Oryctolagus cuniculus: one gene and its partners. The protein of the gene in region 3 purifies or fractionates together with the protein of the main gene of each other region. This does not show direct contact. Links are inferred from orthologs where the notes say so. Each region holds a gene or a part of one and is shown on either strand. Other genes may lie near its edges.

What was found. The genes of interacting proteins can lie anywhere in the genome.
Region 1: the proteins of SOX2 (region 3) and COP1 purify together in Homo sapiens (affinity purification with western blotting; 3 studies listed by BioGRID). This does not show direct contact. The link is inferred for Oryctolagus cuniculus from reciprocal best matches to the Homo sapiens genes SOX2 and COP1.
Region 2: the proteins of SOX2 (region 3) and UBR5 purify together in Homo sapiens (affinity purification with western blotting; 3 studies listed by BioGRID and IntAct, with this or other methods). This does not show direct contact. The link is inferred for Oryctolagus cuniculus from reciprocal best matches to the Homo sapiens genes SOX2 and UBR5.
Region 4: the proteins of SOX2 (region 3) and ARID1A purify together in Homo sapiens (affinity purification with mass spectrometry; 3 studies listed by BioGRID and IntAct, with this or other methods). This does not show direct contact. The link is inferred for Oryctolagus cuniculus from reciprocal best matches to the Homo sapiens genes SOX2 and ARID1A.

Annotation. Positions count from the first base shown.
Region 1 is NC_091438.1:4,386,044-4,391,736, reverse strand, and holds the start of COP1 (E3 ubiquitin-protein ligase COP1), read left to right. Parts: upstream 1-2,203; 5' UTR 2,204-2,479; coding exon 2,480-2,895; intron 2,896-5,693. UniProt on the Homo sapiens protein: E3 ubiquitin-protein ligase that mediates ubiquitination and subsequent proteasomal degradation of target proteins.
Region 2 is NC_091437.1:127,732,683-127,738,408, reverse strand, and holds the start of UBR5 (E3 ubiquitin-protein ligase UBR5), read left to right. Parts: upstream 1-2,236; 5' UTR 2,237-2,363; coding exon 2,364-2,425; intron 2,426-5,726. UniProt on the Homo sapiens protein: E3 ubiquitin-protein ligase involved in different protein quality control pathways in the cytoplasm and nucleus. Mainly acts as a ubiquitin chain elongator that extends pre-ubiquitinated substrates.
Region 3 is NC_091435.1:97,880,474-97,884,486, reverse strand, and holds SOX2 (transcription factor SOX-2), read left to right. Parts: upstream 1-1,213; 5' UTR 1,214-1,363; coding exon 1,364-2,350; 3' UTR 2,351-3,547; downstream 3,548-4,013. UniProt on the Homo sapiens protein: Transcription factor that forms a trimeric complex with OCT4 on DNA and controls the expression of a number of genes involved in embryonic development such as YES1, FGF4, UTF1 and ZFP206. Binds to the proximal enhancer region of NANOG.
Region 4 is NC_091438.1:144,806,256-144,811,924, reverse strand, and holds the start of ARID1A (AT-rich interactive domain-containing protein 1A), read left to right. Parts: upstream 1-2,179; 5' UTR 2,180-2,241; coding exon 2,242-3,411; intron 3,412-5,669. UniProt on the Homo sapiens protein: Involved in transcriptional activation and repression of select genes by chromatin remodeling (alteration of DNA-nucleosome topology).

The sequences.
Region 1 (5,693 bases), on a different chromosome or scaffold from region 3:
AAGGAGAGGCAGAAGGGGAGAGAGAGAGAGGAGAGAGGAGAGAGAGGTCTTCAACTCGCTGGTTCACTTCCTAGTTGGCTGTGACAGCCGGAGTGGTGCTGATCTGAAGCCATGAGCCAGGAGCTTCTTCTGGGTTTCCCATGTGGGTGCAGGGGCCCAAGGACTTGGGCCATCTTCTACTGCTTTCCCAGGCCATAGCAGAAAGCCGGATCAGACGTGGAGCAGCGGGGACTCGAACCAGTGCCCATATGGAATGCTGGCACAACAGGCCCCAGCTTCCCCTATCATTAACATCTTACATACTTGTCACATTTTTTAAAAATTCTGGTTAATGCTTTCTTGTTCTCAATTGTTTATTGGCTATTTTTCAGACTAAATTTGAGGTCTTGATGATATAGTCTCCAGAGAAATTTCTCCTAGAGAATTGTTCTTTCTCTATCAGAAATCTGAATTTGCTGAAAGCTTGTCTCTAGAATGATAACTTTATACTTTTTGATTAACCAAGCCATATTTTTCTCTTAAGGCCTCCAGCAAAAGGGCTGGCCCTTTATATATGCTCTTGCTCCAAACTCCTATGGTGACTCTCTACTTCACCTGCTAAGCATTTAGCATGTGCTCCTTGATATTATTACCTTTATTCCTAATTCTTCAATTATTCCATTGGTTTCTTAAATGCAGAAACAATGTTTTTATAAACTTTTTCTTTCTAGCAATCCAGGCTTAACGCATAGTGAGCATTTAATAAATCTTCACCATCAATTTACTTATGCATTCCCTCATCAAATAATTACTGAATGCCCCATATGGTACTTGCTTTCATAGGCTAATAATTTAGCTGGAAATACAGATGTTAAATAAAAATGAGATGATCAATAGGGTTATTCATGGTAACACAGAAATGTTTAATGCAGACCTATCACAGGTCAGGCACGAGCACAATATAAGCTGAAAGCTGACACGGCTGATGGAGGTCGCATGTAAAGCACTAAAATGCAACGTTACAAGGGCAAACGGAATATCCTGGTTGCACAAAGGAGGGTGCAAAGATCTCTGCCACTTCACGCTTCCACTGGGTCTTGAAGGAGAACTTTAAACAACAATTCGGATGATGCAAGACTTTCTTGCAAGAGCTGTTTTCAGAAACCTGGAAAGCTCGTTCCTACATCATCTGAGCAAAACCCTGAGCTCAGCCCACGAAGCTGGGACTAGGATGGCAGGTGCCTGGCGATGGCTACTGCCCAGGGCAAAGTCCCGGTCGGCGCTGCTGGGGCTCTCTAAGCCTTTCCTCGGCCCTGCCCGCCAGCATGGCCAGTTATTCCCAGAGAAAGCCCCTCGGTGCCAACAGACTTTGTCAGCACCAGGACAGAGCAAATCTGGCATCTTCCAGAATGTTAGGGATTCTCAAGGGCGGCAAGTAAGAGAGTCCGCCGTTTCCAATACTCAAAAAAAAAAAAAAAAAAAGCCTACTCCAAAGTGCACATTTCTAACGGGGCCACGGGCCAGGTTTCCTCGTTTCGTGCTACAACTGCAACAGGCCAATGTTAAGCCGGGATTCTGACACAGCTGTCTTCTGGTTAAGCACCACGCGGTTTCCCATTGTTGCCGTGTTAAATTTAGTAAACTCTTCAAAATACGGGAGCGAAACCGGGAACGCCTGCCATGACGTTTGCCATTCACCAGCTGTCACCGGCGACGCTGGGGAAAAGCGATTCACCTCAGCAGAGCCAGCCCGGCGACCTCTACAGCTGCTCCACGCTTCTCGGCTCCTTCCGTGCGCCCCCAGACACCTGCGCCCTCGCCACCGAGCCACACCGCCCGCCTCTGAGGAGACAGCCACCACTCCCACCGCGCCTTCCGGAAGGCGGTGCGCCCGCCCGCACGCACGCACGCATGCGCGATGCGGCCTCCGCGCGGCCGCGCCGGGGTCGGGCACCCGGGGTGCCCCGCGAGCGTCGGCGCCTCCGGCGGGCGCGCGTGCGCAGTCGCTTTCCCGAGCGCTTCTCCCCGCCCCTCCGGCCGTCCGTCAAGCCGCCGCGCCACCCCTCACCATTCATCCCACTCCTCTCCATCCCACCAATCCAAGAAGGCCCTCGCCTACGTCAAGAACGAACGCCGCTTTCGACCGGGGAGTCTCCGGCCGAGGACGCTCCCGGAGTTGTAGCGCGCGCCGCGCCCGCCCCTTCCGCCGCGCACGCGCACGCGCACGGCCGGCCACGACGCGCCGGGGTTGGCGGCGGCCGCGAGGGCGGCAGTGGCTTCGACGCCGCTCGACGAGTTTCCTCCGCCCCCTCCCGTCGCGCGCTGGTGTGTGGTTGCCTTTAAAAAAAAAAAAAAAGAAAAGAAAAAGCCAACTTTATTGTTCCTCGCCCCACCTCCCGGCGCGGCGCGCGCCCTCAGGATGCACTGAGGCGGGGCGGGGAGGCGGCGGAGGGTCGCGCTCCCTCGGCCCCCAGCGCCGGCCGCAGGGGCGGCAGTCAGGATGTCCAGCAGCCGCCAGGCCGGCTCCGGCTCCGCGGGGACGAGCCCCGGCTCCTCGGCGGCCTCCTCGGTGACTTCCGCCTCCTCGTCCTTAGCCTCTTCCCCGTCGCCCCCTGCCGCGGCGGCGGCGGCGGCGGCGGCGCTGGGGTCCGGCGGGGCCGCGCAGGCCGCGGGCTCGGGCGGCCTCGGGGGTCCGGCGCGGCCTGTGCTGGTGGCGGCCGCCGTGTCGGGCGGCGGCGGCGGCGGCGGGGCGGTGTCGGCGGGCCTGTCCCGGCTCAGCTGCGCGGCCAGGCCCAGCGCCGGCGTAGGAGGCAGCAGCTCCAGCCTCGGCAGCGGCAGCAGGAAGCGACCCCTGCTCGCCCCTCTCTGCAACGGGCTCCTCAACTCCTACGAGGACAAAAGCAACGACTTCGTCTGGTGGGTTTGAAGAGCACCCCGCTTCCCGCTGGCGAATTCGGGAGTTCTGTGCCTGGGGCCGGCGGGCTGCAGTGCGGGAGAGCGCGGGATGCTGGTGCAGAAGTGGCGCCTGCAGCGGGATCCGATGCTTTGCAGACACGTTCCGGCTCGGGGGTGCTGGGGTGGGCAGTGCGGGCGTCCCGAGGCAGGGTCGGCCGCAGCAAGAGAAAGAGGCGCTGGGGAGTAGTGCACGGGGGCGCCGGGAGGCGTGCAAGGTCAGGTCAGTGGTCGTTGCTACCAGGAGAAATTTGGGCGAGGAGGTGGGGTCTGGAACGTTTTGGCTGTTTGGTGACCCGACAGTACCCGTGGTGGTGAATTCAATTTGCCAAGGGAGAGGATCTTTCCTGCTGGGATGCTGAGGGATGGAGTTGGTCAGAATGTCCTCAGAGGAAGTGTGCTGGATGATGCCCTGAACATGGGTGTGGGTGTTTTAGGAAGAGGGGTTTAGTGCAAGCACCCATCGTGTGTGAATATAGATATCTCTCCTTTTCCATCTCAATGGTTAAGGCGATTAGTTTTAAATCTGCTCTTGAGGCTACAGCAGCCAGTCTGTGCACAAAAAAATTCCACTTGTCAGGTGGGTTTCTTGAAAGAACGAAGCACGTTGATGAAATATTATCCGTGGGTCAGGTGTAATTGTTTTACACTGTATAACTGAGTACACGGAAACTTGAGTGATTTGAAATGCTCCGTGTAGACATTTTGTCATCATGGTTGCATCTTGAATGATACACAGTAACATGTGGTTGTATTTGACTCAAAGGCGATTTGGTTACTTTCAGTGAAGGGTGAAGTTCATTGTCTTGCTGAGTCCGTTTTGGGGTTTTCATTAGGCTGTGCTTACTGTTGGTAGGATTATGAGACAGCAGCAGTTTTTAGCTGATTAAGAACCGACAGGGATTTGTGCCCTTCCTGCAGGAAGGCTCGTTGATAGAACTTTCAGTGAGTGTAGGAAGTTGGCTTGCACATTCATGGGGGAAGTTGAAGATAATCGGAATTGTCAGTAAGCATGATAGGGCTAGAAATGGAAATGATCGGGAACATTCATTGATTAGATGTGCAGACAGATTCTTGTTCCTGCAGAAGGATTACATCCTTATTCATAATTCTGCTTTTATTCTGGATTCAAAGTTAGTTCATTTTTAAATTGACACTGGGCTATACTTGGGATTGTTGTTCATAAATAAGTTGAACAGTCTGTGGCTGGGTCTAAGAGTTGCTTGCCTTCCCTCCCAGTCCCAATAGAGCCACACCATGAGGTAAAAGATAATAAAATAGTGGGAGTCTGCAGAATTTAGTTGTCTTTGTAAACACTATTTGCTTTTCAGTTTTCAATAGACTAAAAGAAAACAAACATGTCAGCATCTGTGTAGATCACTGAAATAGTATGGAAGAGGTGAGAAATAAGGGAAGCAATCATTCAGTCACTCAACAGATAGTTGTTTTTTAACTTTTATTTAGCAAATATAAATTTCCAAAGTACAGCTTATGGATTACAATGGCTTCCCCCCACCCCCCATAATTTCCCTCCCACCCGCAACCCTCCCATCTCCCACTCCCTCTCCCATTCCATTCACATCAAGATTCATTTTCAATTAACAGATAGTTATTTGACATTTGCTTTTTGCCAAACACCCTATGAGTTTCTGTGTACTGTAAAATACGTTGTAGGAGTAGATGGCACTGATATTTAATTAGTTTAAAATTTTATTAAAATTTTTATTTATCACTTAAATTTTTTTAAAGATTTATTTATTTGAAGGTCAGAGTTACACAGAGAAGAGAGGAGAGGCAGAGAGAGAGAGAAGAGAGAGGTCTTCCATCTAATGATTCACTCCCCAGTTGGCCACAACGGCCGGAGCTGCGCTGATCCGAAGCCAGGAGCTTCTTCCAGATCTCCCACACGGGTGCAGGGGCCCAAGGACTTGGGCCATATTCTACTGCCTTCCCAGGCCACAGCAGAGAACTGGATCAGAAGTGGAGCTGCCAGGTCTCAAACCGGCACCCATATGGGATGCCAGCGGCGCTTCAGGCCAGGGCATTATCCTGCTGTGCCACAGCGCCAACCCCAACTTTTAAAAATTTCAATCTAGTTTTGAGTCCTAACCATGTTGCCTAGACTATTGATTTCTAGTGTGGAAACATCCAATGAAAATATTTAGGTAAAAACTCTGAATATTTCACTTTCTGTCTAGGAATCTCTTTTGTCTGTTGCTTCTTTATCTGGAAAATTTGAATATTCAGTGGAATTAACTAATGAGAGACCGTTTTCTGTTTCTTAAGCCAGATTTGCTCTTGGCCAAACTCTTGGGATAAGAGGATATGAATTAGGCAAGGCCCAAGGAATCCTTTTCATTTCTGATTGGCTCTGGTGGTTGGTTGGTCTGGTCTTGTATGCCTCAAGGTCAAACTGTTGACCAATTCAAATTACTCTGCACCTTTATATCCAAGTGAGGTCAAGTTCAAATAATAATGATGATTGCTTATTCGTCTATAGCACATTTTAAGCATAGGCTTATACTTAACATTTCATTTTATTCTTACAGCAGTTCTGTGAGCTTACAGAGAACTTGTCTTTTAAAAATACAATTGCTGGCCGGCGCCGCGGCTCACTAGGCTAATCCTCCGCCTTGTGGCGCCGGCACACCGGGTTCTAGTCCCGGTTGGGGCACCGGATTCTGTCCCGGTTGCCCCTCTTCCAGGCCGGCTCTCTGCTGTGGCCAGGGAGTGCAGTGGAGGATGGCCCAGGTGCTTGGGCC
Region 2 (5,726 bases), on a different chromosome or scaffold from region 3:
TTTTAAAGAGACGCCCAGATCTGGAAGGAAGGAAAATGAGCCAAGGCACGGGCATGCTGTAGTCTGTTGAGGGAGCAACTCAAAAACACTAGGTTTAAACCAGATATTTTGCTTGCTCAGAACATTCTTAAAAGCTCAGCTTACATGACTTTTCTTTATTCTCTTGGCTGGAATTACTTCCTTTTACTTCCATTTCACTCTTATTGCATTTATCTTTTTTTTTTCCTGTTAGCTTTGAATAGTCTGTTCCTTCTAAATTATTAACTTCTAGATGGCAACTGTGGTATAGTGGAAAGAGCGATGGAATTAAGAGTCAGAAGACATGGCTTTAAGTCTCAGCAGCACTTAGGTAAAGTGTGTGAGACCCAGGGCTATCTATACAGCGGAGATCATAGTATTTACCTTATAGTAGGACTTAAGTATTAAAAGACATAGGTGTATCAAGTCGCGCACAGTGAGCACTTGACAAATAGAAGCTTCCATTTGCTGTAACTACAATGTGCCTGACATTCATTACCTTACTTAGACCTCACCCTGACCTTGTATAGATCTGTTACTGTGGGACATTTATCAAAGGAGAAAAAAGTAGCTATGATAGCTTAAATAATCTAACCAGGACCACATCTTTAAGCAGCAGAAAAGAAGACTCAAATCCAGGTCTTTCTGGCTGGAAAACTATCAATGCCCATTGGTCTTGCTTCCCCAGGATTTGCACGGACTTCATTACTAATAAGTGGTGGCCTTGAAATCTCGTTTCAGTCTAAACTAATCTGGGCCAACCTTGCAGCTGGTGACCTACAAAAGTGTCCTATTATCCGTCTCAGGGGTACCTAGTTTATCCTGATTTATAAATACATCTTCATGTATTTTTGATCAAAAGACCTTAAGCAAAAAGTGCAGGTGCAAGGCATTAATACAGGAAAAGCGACATTCACCCTTCCACAAGAACTTTTTACACAACCCCTGCGGTTGCCAACATCCACTCGCACCGGAGAAGAGGCTTTATGTTCCTGGGCTTCCCTCTGAAAGAGGTTACTTGATTTTCTGAAGTCGTAGAAACCTTTGAGAAGAAAGCCACGAACTTGGTTTCCTGGAAAACCCCATAGATGCATTTGAGAATCTGCCACCAAGAGTTGCAGAACTCCAGGGTACAATAAGGTATACAAGAGTATCATCTCCCATTTACAAGGAATACAAAGAATCATGAATCACGTAACTCAGGCAACCAGTGGAAATTTCCACATCGTGCACGGGTGATGGCGGTGGGGGAAGGGGGGAGACCAGGCCGATCAAGGGAGTCGCTGCAAGTGGGCTCCGCGATCTACTCTCTATCCCCTTGGGAGAGGCCCTTAGCTAACGACCTTACCTCTCCACCGAAAGGCTGGGTCTCCCTCGCCCCTCGACTCAGTCCGCACTTCCACTTTAAATACAGCCGCGGGAGCGGGAGGAGCAATGACAACAGAAACCCCCTAAGGTCGCTGACACAGTGAGGGCTGGCCCCGGGGGACACCAGGAGCAGCACCCCCGCCTCTGCCTCCTTCCCCCTCCTCCTCGGGGACACCCGCTTCCCCTCACGCCCCGCCCCGGCGGGCTCGCCGCCTTCCCTAACACGTGCTCGCCGGAACACTCGCTTCCCCGAGCCATCCCACCCCCCCGCCCGGGGCTGGGCTCGGGGGCCGAACGGACCAATCGGCACGCGCCTTACAGCGCCGTGGCCCCACGACGTTGAGTCGCCCAATCGAAAGGGCCTTAGCGCCCGTTTCCCGGAGCCCCGCCCCTCGCAGCCGTGCCCCCGCCCGCCGGTCTCCTCCCTCCGCCTCCCCCCCCCACGGCCACCCCTCCCCCGCCGCTCGGGAGCGGAGCCTGCGAGACGGAGAAACTGGGGCAGAAGTGAAGATGGCGGCGGCGGCGGCGACGGCTTCTCGCCTGTGACGCGCGGTGCGGGCTTCTGTCCCTCCCCACCTCCCCTAATCCGGACCCCGTCCGCCGCCCGGTACCACAGCGTCCCCGCAGCCTGCCCCTCTCCGCCCGCCCCAGCCGCCCCTTCCCCCGACGCCCGGCTGCCGCTGGCGGCGGCGCGCCCCGGGGTCCCGGCCGCCGGCCTCGCACTCCCTGGCGCTGTCGCCGGGGGAGCGGGTGGCGCCTCGGTCCGCCCCGCCGGGCTGCCGGGCCGCGGACACACGCCCGGCAGGGAGGCGGCGGCGGCGGCGGCGGCCCCTGCGCCTCGGCTTCCCTCCATTTGGGGACTGGGAGGCGGCAGCGGCGGCGGCGGCTGTGGGTTTTGGGGAGGGGAAGGGGGTCCGGGGGGGGCGGGCGAGAGCAGGAGGGGGCCGTCCTCGGGAAGAGGACGAGAAGGAAGCGCCATGACGTCCATCCATTTCGTGGTTCACCCGCTGCCGGGCACCGAGGACCAGCTCAATGACAGGTAATAGGGACGGCGGGCCACGGGCGGGGGAGGGGCGCCTCCTCCCGCGCCCCTCCCCCACGGGCCGAGCCGGCGGCGCCCCTGTTTACGCGCCGGCCTCCTGGGGGTGTGTGTGTGTGTGTGTGTCGGGGGGGTCCTCGCTGCCCCCTCCCCTCCGCCAGGACCCTTCCGCCGTCAACTTCTCGACCCGGGGGGCTGGGGGCGCGCGCGGCGTGGACGGCGGAGCGCGCCGCAAGCCCCCTCCCCCTCCCCGCGAGGAGCGCGTGGAGCTCGGCGGGGCCGGGGGGCGCCGGTTCCTCACCCCCACTCCTCCGGGGCCGGGGGGCTGGGCTGGAATTGCCGCTGGGGCCCGGGCCCCGAGGAATCCATATTAGTCAAAGTTGAATTGAGACAGACAATGCGGATGGGGGATGGTGGAGGTGAAAAGAGAGGGAAGAGGAGACGCGGGGCCGGGGGCCCCCGGGTAGGCCGGCCGGGGCGGTGCGGACCCCGGGGAGCCGCGGGTTCCCGGCGGATCGCGGGCGGCGACGGGCGGAAGCGCCATGATTATTGTTATTATTATTAAATCTGAGCCCCTGCAGCGAGGTTCGCCCGCCCCGGGAGGGGCTGCGTGGGGGCGGGGGTGGGAAGTGGCTTGGATTCCCGTGCCTTTGAAATGGTGCTGGCAGCTCCGGCCCCCAGCCCCCGGGGTGCGCGCTTTGTTGTTTGCTTTTCCCCGAGTTGTAATCTGACAGCTGAAAACCGTGCGTGGCGGGTCGCAGGGAAACTCTGAGGTTCGCAGTTCGCAGCGCTGGGAATTTCTGGGCTGGGTTTGCTCCGGGCGGAGGAGGAGTGATTTTCTGTCTTTCATAAAGAGGCTGTTTGGGTTTAGACTCCTCTCCTGCGTCCTCCGGCGCTGCTGGCCGGTTTAGGATATTGAATTGCAGGGCCACACGCGCCGCGCGAGCCGAGATGAAGCAGGAAAAGTTCCCTCGCTGTGGCAGGAAGACGCTCCGGGGAGGCCGAGGGAGGCTTCCATTAAAGCGTGCCTTAGAGTCCGGGGTTCAGGCCTCGCGAGGGCCCAGAAGTGTGCAGGATCTCCGGCTCCCTCGGTAGGCCGGCTGGCCCCGCGATAGAAGTTAGACTCCGTTTTTGCTAAGTGACCGGGTGACTTACGGTGCCTGTCGCCCGGCTTGTCATGTGCTTCCCGGAGGGAGGGAGAGGCCCAGCTCGCTGGTTGAGATGTTGCCCTCGGCCTCCGGGTGCCCAGTCACCCCAGGTGGGGCACGAAGCCTCTCAGTCTCCAGCGGTCCTATTAGTTTGTGGCACTGGACTCGGGCTCGTCCACTCTTCGCCGTAGCCATATTGTGTGTCGTGTGTTTGTGAAACTTTCTGAAAATTTAACCACTGGGAGTTTGCATGTACTTCCTTCTCAACACTGGAACAGCCTCTATCAATTATTTAACATTTTGCTGTGATTCTTCCATTACAGATCTTTTGCAGACTCGGGGACTTTCTGTACATTTTAGAACCAGGCCAGTAGTGAAGGGTAGCTCTGCCGTCATTCATAGACCCAGTTGTTCCAGCTTGTCCCGTAACCTGCCTTCTAACATAGAAAATTGCACCGAGAGCAGGAGAGAAGTAGGGCATGTTTTCTGCGTTAGTCCTAACTTTGTTTACCAAGAGTCCTAACTTACTCAATTGACTGCGCAAATCAGAATCTATTTTGCAGTGTATGGGGCCCTTTGATTTGTTTTTGCACATTTCTTTGGCATCACATATTAACAATTAATGAATTAACAAGTAATGAATCCTTTTGAAGCTACTTTTCTTCTAGTATAAAGAAATAAGAAATAGTTAGCTTTACTTTTTATTCTTACAGAATCAGAATACAATATTAAGAATGAACATCTTGAGTTTTTTTTTTTTTTTTTCCAGTGAGCTAAAGGAGAAGACAAGTGGATTTGAGTTAGACTGTAACGCGTACAACAAGGTGGTAGATCCCTGAACAGATAGGTACTTTTGGGGATGTAGAGTTGTATCTGGTAGCTGCCAGTGGCCTGCATTGAGGACAGTTACGCACCCCGACTTTCAGCGAGAGAGCTGTTCTGTGCCTCCCCTTCAAAAGGAAAGGTCCTCTTGGCATTTCTGGTTTAAAATAATAAGCCACACATAGTGCATGAGATTTGTTTTTAGACCAGAGGCAGCAGTCCAGAATATGTTCATCTTCAGAAAAAAAATTTGCCATGTTTTAGTGAGTTTTGATACTAGAAAAGAATGTGCGACTCTAATTTTATTAATTTATTTGAAAACATTTATTTATTTGAAAAGCCGAGTTGCAGAAAGAACAACAGACAGGGAGATCTCCATCCGCCGGTTCACTCCCCAAATGACCCCAACAGCCGGGGCGGGGCCAGGCTGAAGCCAGGAGCTTCTTCTGGGTGCCCACGAGGATGCAGGGGCCCAACCACTTGAAGCATGTGCTGCTGCTTTCCCAGGGGCATGAACAGGGAGCTGGGTAGGAAGTTGGGCAGCTGGGGCTCACATGGGGCCTGTTGTGCCACAGTGCCGGCCATATTCCGTCATTTTAATATGAGAAATGTGAGCGTCACAAACGAAATGATAAATGATAGTTTCGAGTGAAAAGTTCTTTGCGCTAAAAGCAGTAAAAGCAAGCAATGTGGTACTGCAGATAAATTGTTCAGGAAAGATTTTAGGGCCTTAATCATCAATATCTTCTTCCCTAAATGAGTTTTCTTCCAATACCCAACCCCATTTTCTTCACTTTAATAGTAGTCCTGTATGTTAAAATGTGTGTTTTTTTTTTTTAATATTTATTTATGTGAAAGAGTTGCAGGGGGAGAGAGCTTTCATCGGTTGATTCATTCCCCAGATGATCTCAACAGCAAGGGCTGAGCCAGGCAGAAGCCAGGAGCCACAAGCTTCATCTAGGTCTCCCAGGCGGGTAGCAGGGGCCGAAAGGCTTGGCCATCCTCTGATGCTTTTTCTAGGCCATTAGCAGGGAACTGGTTCAGAAGTGGAGCAGCCAGTGCTCTGTGTGAGATGCTGGCATTGCAGATGGCTTTACCCGCTATGCCACAGTGCTGGCTCCTCAGACTTTGTAAATATGTGAAACATAACAACGCGCATCATATTTTTGTTTTTTAATTTGTGTCTTCAGACTAGTTAATGGTAATGAGGATGCATGAATGAAGTTGATGAATGCACCAGGGGATGGCTGTGGCAGCCAGAAGAGGAGAGGTCAGAGAGCCCAGGGTGTGGCCCTCAGTCATTCACTGAGTTGAATTGAAACTGTTCAGCC
Region 3 (4,013 bases):
CAGCCGGCGGGGGAGATGCCAGCGCGGCCCGGGCCCCGAGCCCTGGGAACTCCGCGTGGGCGGGAGTCCGCGAGCGTGGCCCGGAGGCCACCTCCGAGCAGGGCCGGGGGAGGCCAGGAAGTGGCCGCCACCCTCGCGCGCGCCCGCCCTCCGCGCCCCGCCGGGGGAAGCTGGCACCAGTGAAATCCGCCCTTGGGGGGGTGCTGGGGCGCATCTCCTTGGCACCGAGCGGCCTGCGCTGGGAGCCGGGGGCTGCCTGGCCTCCGCTCCGCGCGGCTGGAGCTCAAGAACAGGGCTGGTTTGAGGGTTCGAGGGCCGGGGCTTCCGGGAGGGGAGGTCTCCTAACTTCCAGCTGGGACCTTCCAGAGGGGTGGGTGCTGGCACCTGTGCAGGCCAGAGAGGCCGGGGGGTGGGGGGAGAAGTGGCAGCCGCGGCGGGGAGGGGGAGGGCTGGGGGGTAGGGGGACAGGGCCGCGCCCCCTCCACGTTCCTGCGCCCGCACCTAAAAGTCAATCAGTTTAAAAGAAGAAGGAAGCGGGTGTCGGGGTGTGGGGGGGTGGCCGGTGTGCACCCCCCACGCCGTCTCCGCGCCTTTTCCCCCACTGGCTTCGAACCGGCGTGTGGCGTGACCTGTTGCTGCGAGCGGGCATACAAAGGTTCCGCGGCGGCCGGCGGCCCAGCGCGGGGAGCCGCGTCCCCCGCCCGCCGCGCGCGCGCGCGCCGCGCCCGCCCCCGCGCCCGCCCGCTCCCCCGCGCGGCCGCCGGCGCCGCAGGCCCCGCCCCCTTTCATGCAAAAGCCGGCGGCGAGGCCGGGCCCGAGTGGAGGAGCCGCCGCGCGCTGATTGGTCGCGAGAAACCCATTTATTCCCTGACAGCCCCCGTCACATGGACGGTTGTCTATTAACTTGTTCAAAAAAGTATCAGGAGTTGTCAAGGCAGAGAAGAGAGTGTTTGCAAAAGGGGGAAAGTAGTTTGCTGCCTCTTTAAGACCGGGACCGAGAGAAAGAAGAGGAGAGCGAAAAGAAAAGGCAGAGAAGTTTGAGCCCCAGACTTAAGCCTTTCCAAAAAATAATAATAATAATAATAACAATCGGCGGCGGCGGCGGCGGCATCGGCCGGAGGCGGAGGGAAGCGCTGCTTTTTTGATCCCGATTCCAGTTCGCCTCCCTCTCTCCCTCTCTCCCTCTCCCTCTCTCCCTCTCTCTCCCTTCTCTTCCCCCGAATTGCTCTCCGTCCGGTCTCCGCGCTCGCGGCACCCCCGCCCGCCTCCCCTCCTCCTCTCGCCCCCGCCCGCGGGCCCCCGAGTCCCAGCCGCGCCGAGGGTCGGCGGCCGCCGGCGGGCCGGGCCCGCGCACAGCGCCCGCATGTACAACATGATGGAGACCGAGCTGAAGCCGCCGGGCCCGCAGCAGACTTCGGGGGGCGGCGGCGGCGGCGGCGGCGGCGGTGGCGGTGGCGGCGGCGGCAACGGCGCGGCGGCGGCGGCGGGCGGCAACCAGAAGAACAGCCCGGACCGCGTCAAGCGGCCCATGAACGCCTTCATGGTGTGGTCCCGCGGGCAGCGGCGCAAGATGGCCCAGGAGAACCCCAAGATGCACAACTCGGAGATCAGCAAGCGTCTGGGCGCCGAGTGGAAACTTTTGTCGGAGACGGAGAAGCGGCCGTTCATCGACGAGGCCAAGCGGCTGCGAGCGCTGCACATGAAGGAGCACCCGGATTATAAATACCGGCCCCGGCGGAAAACCAAGACGCTCATGAAGAAGGATAAGTACACGCTGCCCGGCGGGCTGCTGGCCCCCGGCGGCAACAGCATGGCGAGCGGGGTCGGGGTGGGCGCCGGCCTGGGCGCGGGCGTGAACCAGCGCATGGACAGCTACGCGCACATGAACGGCTGGAGCAACGGCAGCTACAGCATGATGCAGGACCAGCTGGGCTACCCGCAGCACCCGGGCCTCAACGCGCACGGCGCCGCGCAGATGCAGCCCATGCACCGCTACGACGTGAGCGCGCTGCAGTACAACTCCATGAGCAGCTCGCAGACCTACATGAACGGCTCTCCCACCTACAGCATGTCCTACTCGCAGCAGGGCACCCCCGGCATGGCGCTCGGCTCCATGGGCTCGGTGGTCAAGTCCGAGGCCAGCTCCAGCCCCCCCGTGGTTACCTCTTCCTCCCACTCCAGGGCGCCCTGCCAGGCCGGGGACCTCCGGGACATGATCAGCATGTACCTCCCCGGCGCCGAAGTGCCCGAGCCCGCCGCCCCCAGCAGACTCCACATGTCCCAGCACTACCAGAGCGGCCCGGTGCCTGGCACGGCCATTAACGGCACACTGCCCCTCTCGCACATGTGAGGGGGGCCGGACGGCGGACTGCAGGAGGGGGGAAGTGGGTGTCGCAGAGACAAGGGAAATGGGGAGAGGTGCACAAGGAGAGTGAGAACAGCATGGCGAAAAATACCCGGTACGCTAAAAAAGAAAAGAAGAAGGACAGAAAGGAAAAAAGAAAAGAAAAGAAAAATCTTTTATCACCCACAGCAAATGACAGCTGCAGGGGAGAGACCACCAATCCCATCCACACTCACGCCAAATCCGCGATGCCGACGAGAAAACTTTTATGAGAGATCCTGGACTTCTTTTTGGGGGACTATTTTTGTACAGAGAAAACCGTGGGAGGGGGGAGGAGGGGTGGGGAGGGCGGGGGAAGGGACCTTGTATAGATCTGGAGGAAAAGAAAGCTACAAAAAAACTTTTTAAAAGTTCTAGTGGTACGGTAGGAGCTTTGCAGGAAGTTTGCAAAAGTCTTTACCAATAATATTTAGAGCTAGTCTCCAAGCGACGAAAAAAAAAGTTTTAATATTTGCAAGCAACTTTTGTACAGTATTTATCGAGATAAACATGGCAATCAAAATGTCCATTGTTTATAAGCTGAGAATTTGCCAATAATTTTCAAGGAGCGGCTTCTTGCTGAATTTTGTTTCTGCAGCTGAGATTAGGACAGTTGCAAACGTGGAAAGAAGAAAATTAATAAGATTTGGACATTTTAATTGTTTAAAAATTGTACAAAAGGAAAAAAATTAGAATAAGTACTGGCAAAACTATCTCCGTGGTCTTGTTTCAAAAAGGGGGGGGGGCAAGAGTTTTACATTGTACTAAATTTTTTTTTAACTTACTGTTAAAAGCAAAAATGGCCATGCAGGTCGACATCGTGGGTAATTTATAATAGCTTTTGTTCAATCCCAACTTTCCATTTTGTTCAGATAAAAAAATGACATGATATTACTGTGTTTGAAATATTTTCTTATGGTTTGTAATATTTCTGTAAATTTATTGTGATATTTTAAGGTTTCCCTCCCTCTCCCCTCCCCCCGTTTATTTTCCGTAGTTGTATTTTAAAAGATTCGGCTCTGTATTATTTGAATCAGTCTGCCGAAAATCCATGTATATATTTGAACTAATACCATCCTTATAACAGGTACATTTTCAACTTAAGTTTTTACTCCATTATGCACAGTTTGAGATAAATAAATTTTTGAAATATGGACACTGAAATTATGCTTGAGTCTTTCATTTACTTGGATAACACTGGTGGATACATTAACTTGGGGAAATTATTTACAATACTGTGCTCAACCTTGAAAGTAAAATAAATACCTAAAAACCTTGGTATGGCTGACTAGTCCAGCAGCGCGCTAATGTTAACTGGGAAAAGAACTGGCTGGATGAGCAGTAAGTACTCTGAATCTGAACTGCTTGTGTCATTTCCGAAGTAGGAACTAGAGGCATATAGCGTCAAACCCACTCGCTCCCTTGCTAGCAGCTTGCAGAAGCACTGTGGGGACTCAGACTTTAACCTGATTTATGCCACTTGTTGCCAGAAAGGAGTTGATTCTAGAATTTTTCCTGTAGCTTAGCAGATGGGGTATTGAGCCAAATCAGAACCAGGTCGGCTGGTTTTGTTTTCATTTTCTTCACAGCACAATGGCCCTTTGAGACCTGGGTATAGGGGGGAAGTGAT
Region 4 (5,669 bases), on a different chromosome or scaffold from region 3:
CTACTCTTGGGTTAGTCGGGAGGTTTTGGGTTTTTAGTGTGGGAGGAGCTTATGTTTTGGGGGGCAGGGATGATGAGGTCAGCCTGCTGGAACTCTTCAGGGTGACCAGTGACCCCCAGCGGCCTGCAGAATCTGGAAGTTCTAAGATAATAGTTCTGTGGTCAGGAAGCCTCCAATTATAAAATCTGAGGGAGAGAAAAGCCATGGTGTCTGGAGATGCCGGCCTGCACCTTTCCCCGAAGCAGCCTTGGGCCTGGTGAGAAGTTGGGATCCCCTGTGGCTTGCAAACCCGAGTGCTGTCAGCAGTCCAGCTAGCCTGAAGAGAGGGGGGAAAGGCTGCTGCTAGGGCTTGGTGGCCCTCGGGGGTAGGGTGACCCTGGACTTTTCCTGTGCACCGTGTTCTCTTCCGAGGAACCTGGCCTTATCCCCAGCTCCACCTGGGTCTCTTTAGAAGGCAGTGGCAAACTTACACTGGGGGACAGAAATCTGGGTGGCGTGGCTTGCTAAGCGACCTGATAGCTGTGCCTTTTCTCTCTGCTCTGCCCCGCTCTCTTGCAGGGGCTTGTTGGAGCTGGAGCTCCCATCCCGCCAGCCCCTGGAGCCTCTTCTGTGGGCTGTTCAGTCTTCTTAGGCACTCTTTGAAGACTGTTGGTCATGGTGGGCTGAGTTCCCTCAGGAAGTGAGCCTGGGGCTTGGGTTCTCCAGCTGGAAAAATGTCCTGTGTCCCCCACTCTGGGCGGGTGCTTGATGACAGAGCTGGGAGTTTGGATCTATTCTGATATTTTGACCCCATTGCTGCATTTGCTCACAATTTGACTTTTTTTTCTTTAAAGGCTAAGTAGACAGGAGGCAGCTTTGGAGACTCCACTTCTTTTTAAAGCTCCCCCACCCCCCACCCTCCGACGTTAAATGACCTGGGCAGTGTCCTCCCCTCTCGGTCTTTCAATTCTGTAAAATGGGGATAATCCCGACCTCGTGCCCCCGGGGACTTGTCAAGACCAGCTAATGAGGGCAGGGGAGTGGGAAAACGCAGAGTCTGAACAATGATCGCTCGGCCCTTGCAAAGGGGTTAGAAAGCAGGGCTCTCTCGGCTGAGTCTTTGGGGCCGGTTTGTAAAAAGGCTTTCAAGAAGAAAAGTGCTGTGGAGGTGCTAAGTAACAGCCAAGAGACCAGGCTCGCTGCCAGGGGGGTCAGGCCTGGGCCGAGGCGGCCGCGGTCTCGGGCTCTGGCCAATTTTGCAGGCGCGGGTAAAGTTCACGCTGCCCGCTCCCCACGGTGCGGCCGGGAGGGGACCGGCCGGGGATCGGCACGCCGGGAGGGAGGCGGCGCAGGCTCCGGAGGGGCGCGAGCTCCGGGCCGGGTTTTCCCCGAAGCCTTCGGCGGCGGTGCTGCCGAGCGAAAGCGGCCGAGGGCCTGCCGCCGCCGCGGCTCGCTCTCTTCCCCTCCTCCTTTGTGAGGGGAAGGGAGCGAGTCCATTCCGCGGCGGCACCCGCTCCGCGCTCCACTCCGGGTTTGCCAGGCGGCCGCGACGGCGCTGGGTAAAATGGCAGTGCTGAGCCTCGTGTCGGAGTGAGGGGGACTCGGAGGAGAGTGGGGCGCTCTAGCCGCTCAGTCCTGCCGCCCGCTTGCTCGCCCGCCCGCTGCCGCGCAGCAGCCGCGGCCGGAGCCGCGGCCGGGGAGGGGAGGCAGGGCGCCCGGCCCGGCCCGCGCGCGCCGACTCTGCCTCCCGGCGCCCCGGCTGCTGCCGCGCGCCCTCCAGCCCGCCCGTCCCGGGTCCCCCTCCCCCCGCTCCCTCCCTCCCTCCCCGCCCCCTCCCCCTCGCCTCCCTCCCTCCCTCCCTCCTCCTTTCTCCGGCAGCAGAAAGCGGAGAGTCACAGCGGGGCCAGGCCCTGGGGAGCGGAGCCTCCACCGCCCCCCTCATTCCCAGGCAAGGGCTTGGGGGGAATGAGCCGGGAGAGCCGGGTCCCGAGCCTGCAGAGCCGGGAGCAGCTGAGCCGCCGGCGCCTCGGCCGCCGCCGCCGCCGCCTCCTCCTCCTCCGCCGCCGCCAGCCCGGAGCCTGAGCCGGCGGGGCGGGGGGGAGAGGAGCGAGCGAGCGAGCGCAGCGCAGCAGCGGAGCCCCGCGAGGCCCGCCCGGGCGGGTGGGGAGGGCAGCCCGGGGGACTCGGCCCCGGGGCGGGGTGGGAGGGGGGGAGACGACGAAGACAGGGCCGGGTCTCTCCGCGGACGAGACAGCGGGGATCATGGCCGCGCAGGTCGCCCCCGCCGCCGCCAGCAGCCTGGGCAACCCGCCGCCGCCGCCGCCGCCGCCGCCCTCGGAGCTGAAGAAAGCCGAGCAGCAGCAGCAGCAGCGGGAGGAGGCGGGGGGCGAGGCGGCAGCGGCAGCAGCAGCAGCCGAGCGCGGGGAAATGAAGGCAGCCGCCGGGCAGGAAAGCGAGGGCCCCGCCGTGGGGCCGCCGCAGCCGCTGGGAAAGGAGCTGCAGGACGGGGCCGAGAGCAATGGGGGTGGCGGCGGCGGCGGAGCCGGCAGCGGCGGCGGGCCCGGCGCGGAGCCGGACCTGAAGAACTCGAACGGGAACGCGGGCCCTAGGCCCGCCCTGAACAATAACCTCACGGAGCCGCCCGGCGGCGGCGGCGGCGGCGGCGGCAGCAGCAGCGACGGGGTGGGGGCGCCTCCTCACTCAGCCGCGGCCGCCCTGCCGCCCCCAGCCTACGGCTTCGGGCAGCCCTACGGCCGGAGCCCGTCTGCCGTCGCCGCCGCGGCGGCCGCCGTCTTCCACCAACAACATGGCGGACAACAAAGCCCTGGCCTGGCAGCGCTGCAGAGCGGCGGTGGCGGCGGGGGCCTGGAGCCCTACGCGGGGCCCCAGCAGAACTCGCACGACCACGGCTTCCCCAACCACCAGTACAACTCCTACTACCCCAACCGCAGCGCCTACCCCCCGCCCCCCCAGGCCTACGCGCTGAGCTCCCCGAGAGGTGGCACTCCGGGCTCCGGCGCGGCGGCGGCCGCCGGCTCCAAGCCGCCTCCCTCCTCCAGCGCCTCCGCCTCCTCGTCGTCTTCGTCCTTCGCTCAGCAGCGCTTCGGGGCCATGGGGGGAGGCGGCCCCTCCGCGGCCGGCGGGGGAACCCCCCAGCCTACCGCCACCCCCACCCTCAACCAACTGCTCACGTCGCCCAGCTCGGCCCGGGGCTACCAGGGCTACCCCGGGGGCGACTACGGCGGCGGGCCCCAGGACGGGGGCGCCGGCAAGGGCCCGGCGGACATAGCCTCGCAGTGCTGGGGGGCTGCGGCGGCGGCAGCGGCGGCGGCGGCGGCCGCCTCGGGAGGGGCCCAACAAAGGAGCCACCACGCGCCCATGAGCCCCGGGAGCAGCGGCGGCGGGGGGCAGCCGCTCGCCCGGACCCCTCAGGTACACAGCTGAGCGGGGAGGGGGGCTGGGGCGAGCTGGGCCGGGCGGTGGGGGGGTGGGTGGCGGCTGCGGGGAGCAGGCCCCAGCCGTGGGCTCCGCTCGGTCCCGGGCCCCCACTGCTGGGGAGCTGCCATTGTCTGGCTCTTCTCTCTTAAAATGGCTGCCTGTCTGCCTTCTTCTCCTTCCCTCCTTCAGCCTTTGTGTGGGGCTTTTCCAGAGGTGTCTGCTGCCCGGCTCCCCCTCCCCTGGCCCCTGCGAACTCCGCGGGTCTTCAGGGGGGTGCGGGGCAGAGTGTGCGGGGAAGGGCCCGGCCTGGGGTGAGGGGGTGCCGGGGGCTCAGATCAGGGGTGTAAGCGGTGGTAGGAGCCCCGGAAGGCGAGCGAGCGTCCCCCTGCTCGCCTGCCGCTCCTCTCTGTGCCCCCTGCTTGTCTCTAGGCCGTCCCCCGTCTGTGCTCTCGAGGAGGGGCCCCTCGGGCCCGGGGGACCTCGCGGGAGGGTAGGGGCCTTCTTGGGGGCAGCTAGAGGCCGGCTGCGGTTCACCCCGGGCAGCCCGGCCATCGCCTGTCTTGGTCTCCGCCGGCCCAGTGGCCTGGGCTTCTCCCTGGAAGCGCTGGTAAACAGCTGAGTGATTGGAGTAGTAAGTGCAGATTGCTTTGGTTTGGGATTTGAATTATGGAGGTAAAATCCTTCTGTCAAAGCCAGGAGACAGTTGGTCTTAGGTTGACATCCTATCTGTGATCTGATTGGCTCCCCATCTCCTGCTCTTGGCCATTTATAATTGCCTCTGATGTAATGGTACAACAATCCTGATGAGCTCATAAACTTTTACACTCTGCTTTTCTGCCAGTGATAACCCAAACCATCGCTGCCACTATCAGCCTTTTTTATTCCAGAGCTGAAATTGGCTGTGACCTTGAGGAGGGAGGTTTAAGCCGCAATACTGTATCAGCAGGAGCAGAGCCCCAGACAGGCTGCCCTTGTTACATTGTGCCTGAAACAAAAGAGGAGGCCATGGCATTTTGCTTGTACCTTGGATTTATTTTGCTTGTTATATTTTATGCAGCCTGAAATAGATTCTGTGTTGTCCGAACAGTAGCTGAGTTTCTTCTCTACAATGGGTTTGCTGTTTGTTTTGGTTTTGTGACTTTCCTGATGGGATAAATGACTTCTTTGATGACTGTGAAGATGCATTTATCTTGAGTAATTCTGACACTGTTTGCAGAATTGAAATTATTTTGCTGTTTGGTTTTTTTTTAATTGAGTGGCAAATGTGGGACCTTTGTGGGGAGGGGGCATTTTTGGTTATCACTGTAATCCTTTTTAAAATGGGGAGCTTTCTTTGGGAATTTCATGTTAGATTCAAGTGTTCTGTTTTAAGCAAGGCTGGCCTCATTCTTTGTTTACATGTTGAATCTTGTTAACAGTTTTCTTTTGTTAATTAGACTTCGGGAGAGCAACTTAAAGAGAAACTGGTGTCTTTCATGATGTTGAGGGACTTTCTCCTGAAGGCTTGCTTTGGCGAAATTATTGTCTCTTCCTGGAATAACAAAAAGGCTAGTTTTTTGTTTTTGCCATCACTCATTTGGAGCTTTGAGATAGAGACTGGTCAGTTTTTTTTGCTTTGCATTTCAATGTATGTTCTGTTCCCACCCCCCCTTCTTCCAAGATACAGACATATGACCTATAGATTTGCCTAGACATTTCCAACGTGTAGGTACCGTTTTGTACACTCTATTTTGTTTTCATTTTGCTTTTCTTCCTGCTCAGCAGTGCCTTGGCCAGGAATATTGGGTAGTCGATGGAGTTGCGTATCTTTTTTCAAGGAGGGGAAAGCCCTCTTATGCACCCACTCCCATGTGTACTTTTGTGCTAAGAAATCAACATTTTGCTTAGTTGGCCTAATCAACTTTGTTCTTTCCTCATCCTAGAACTGCTTTTTACACTTGCACTGTGCTGGGAGTTTTGAAAATAGCTGTGTTAGATGGTGGGCTAAGAGCTCTGTGCCTTGACTCTGCATCTACCCTAATGTTCTACATCTGGGCAAGAAAAAGGGAACTGTTGTGTTCCTGGTGTTTGGAGGATAAGTTTTGTCTTAGAAGACAGAGCATCCTCATGTCTCTGGGTCGGTCTGTAATCTGTACCTCTTTTCCTTATTTAGTTGTTGGCTGAAAATTTTACCTTTCTGGAGAACTCTTAGAGGAAACTCTTTGGGATAAGTCAAGACTCACTTAAAAGCAAATTTGATTTTAATTCTGTAG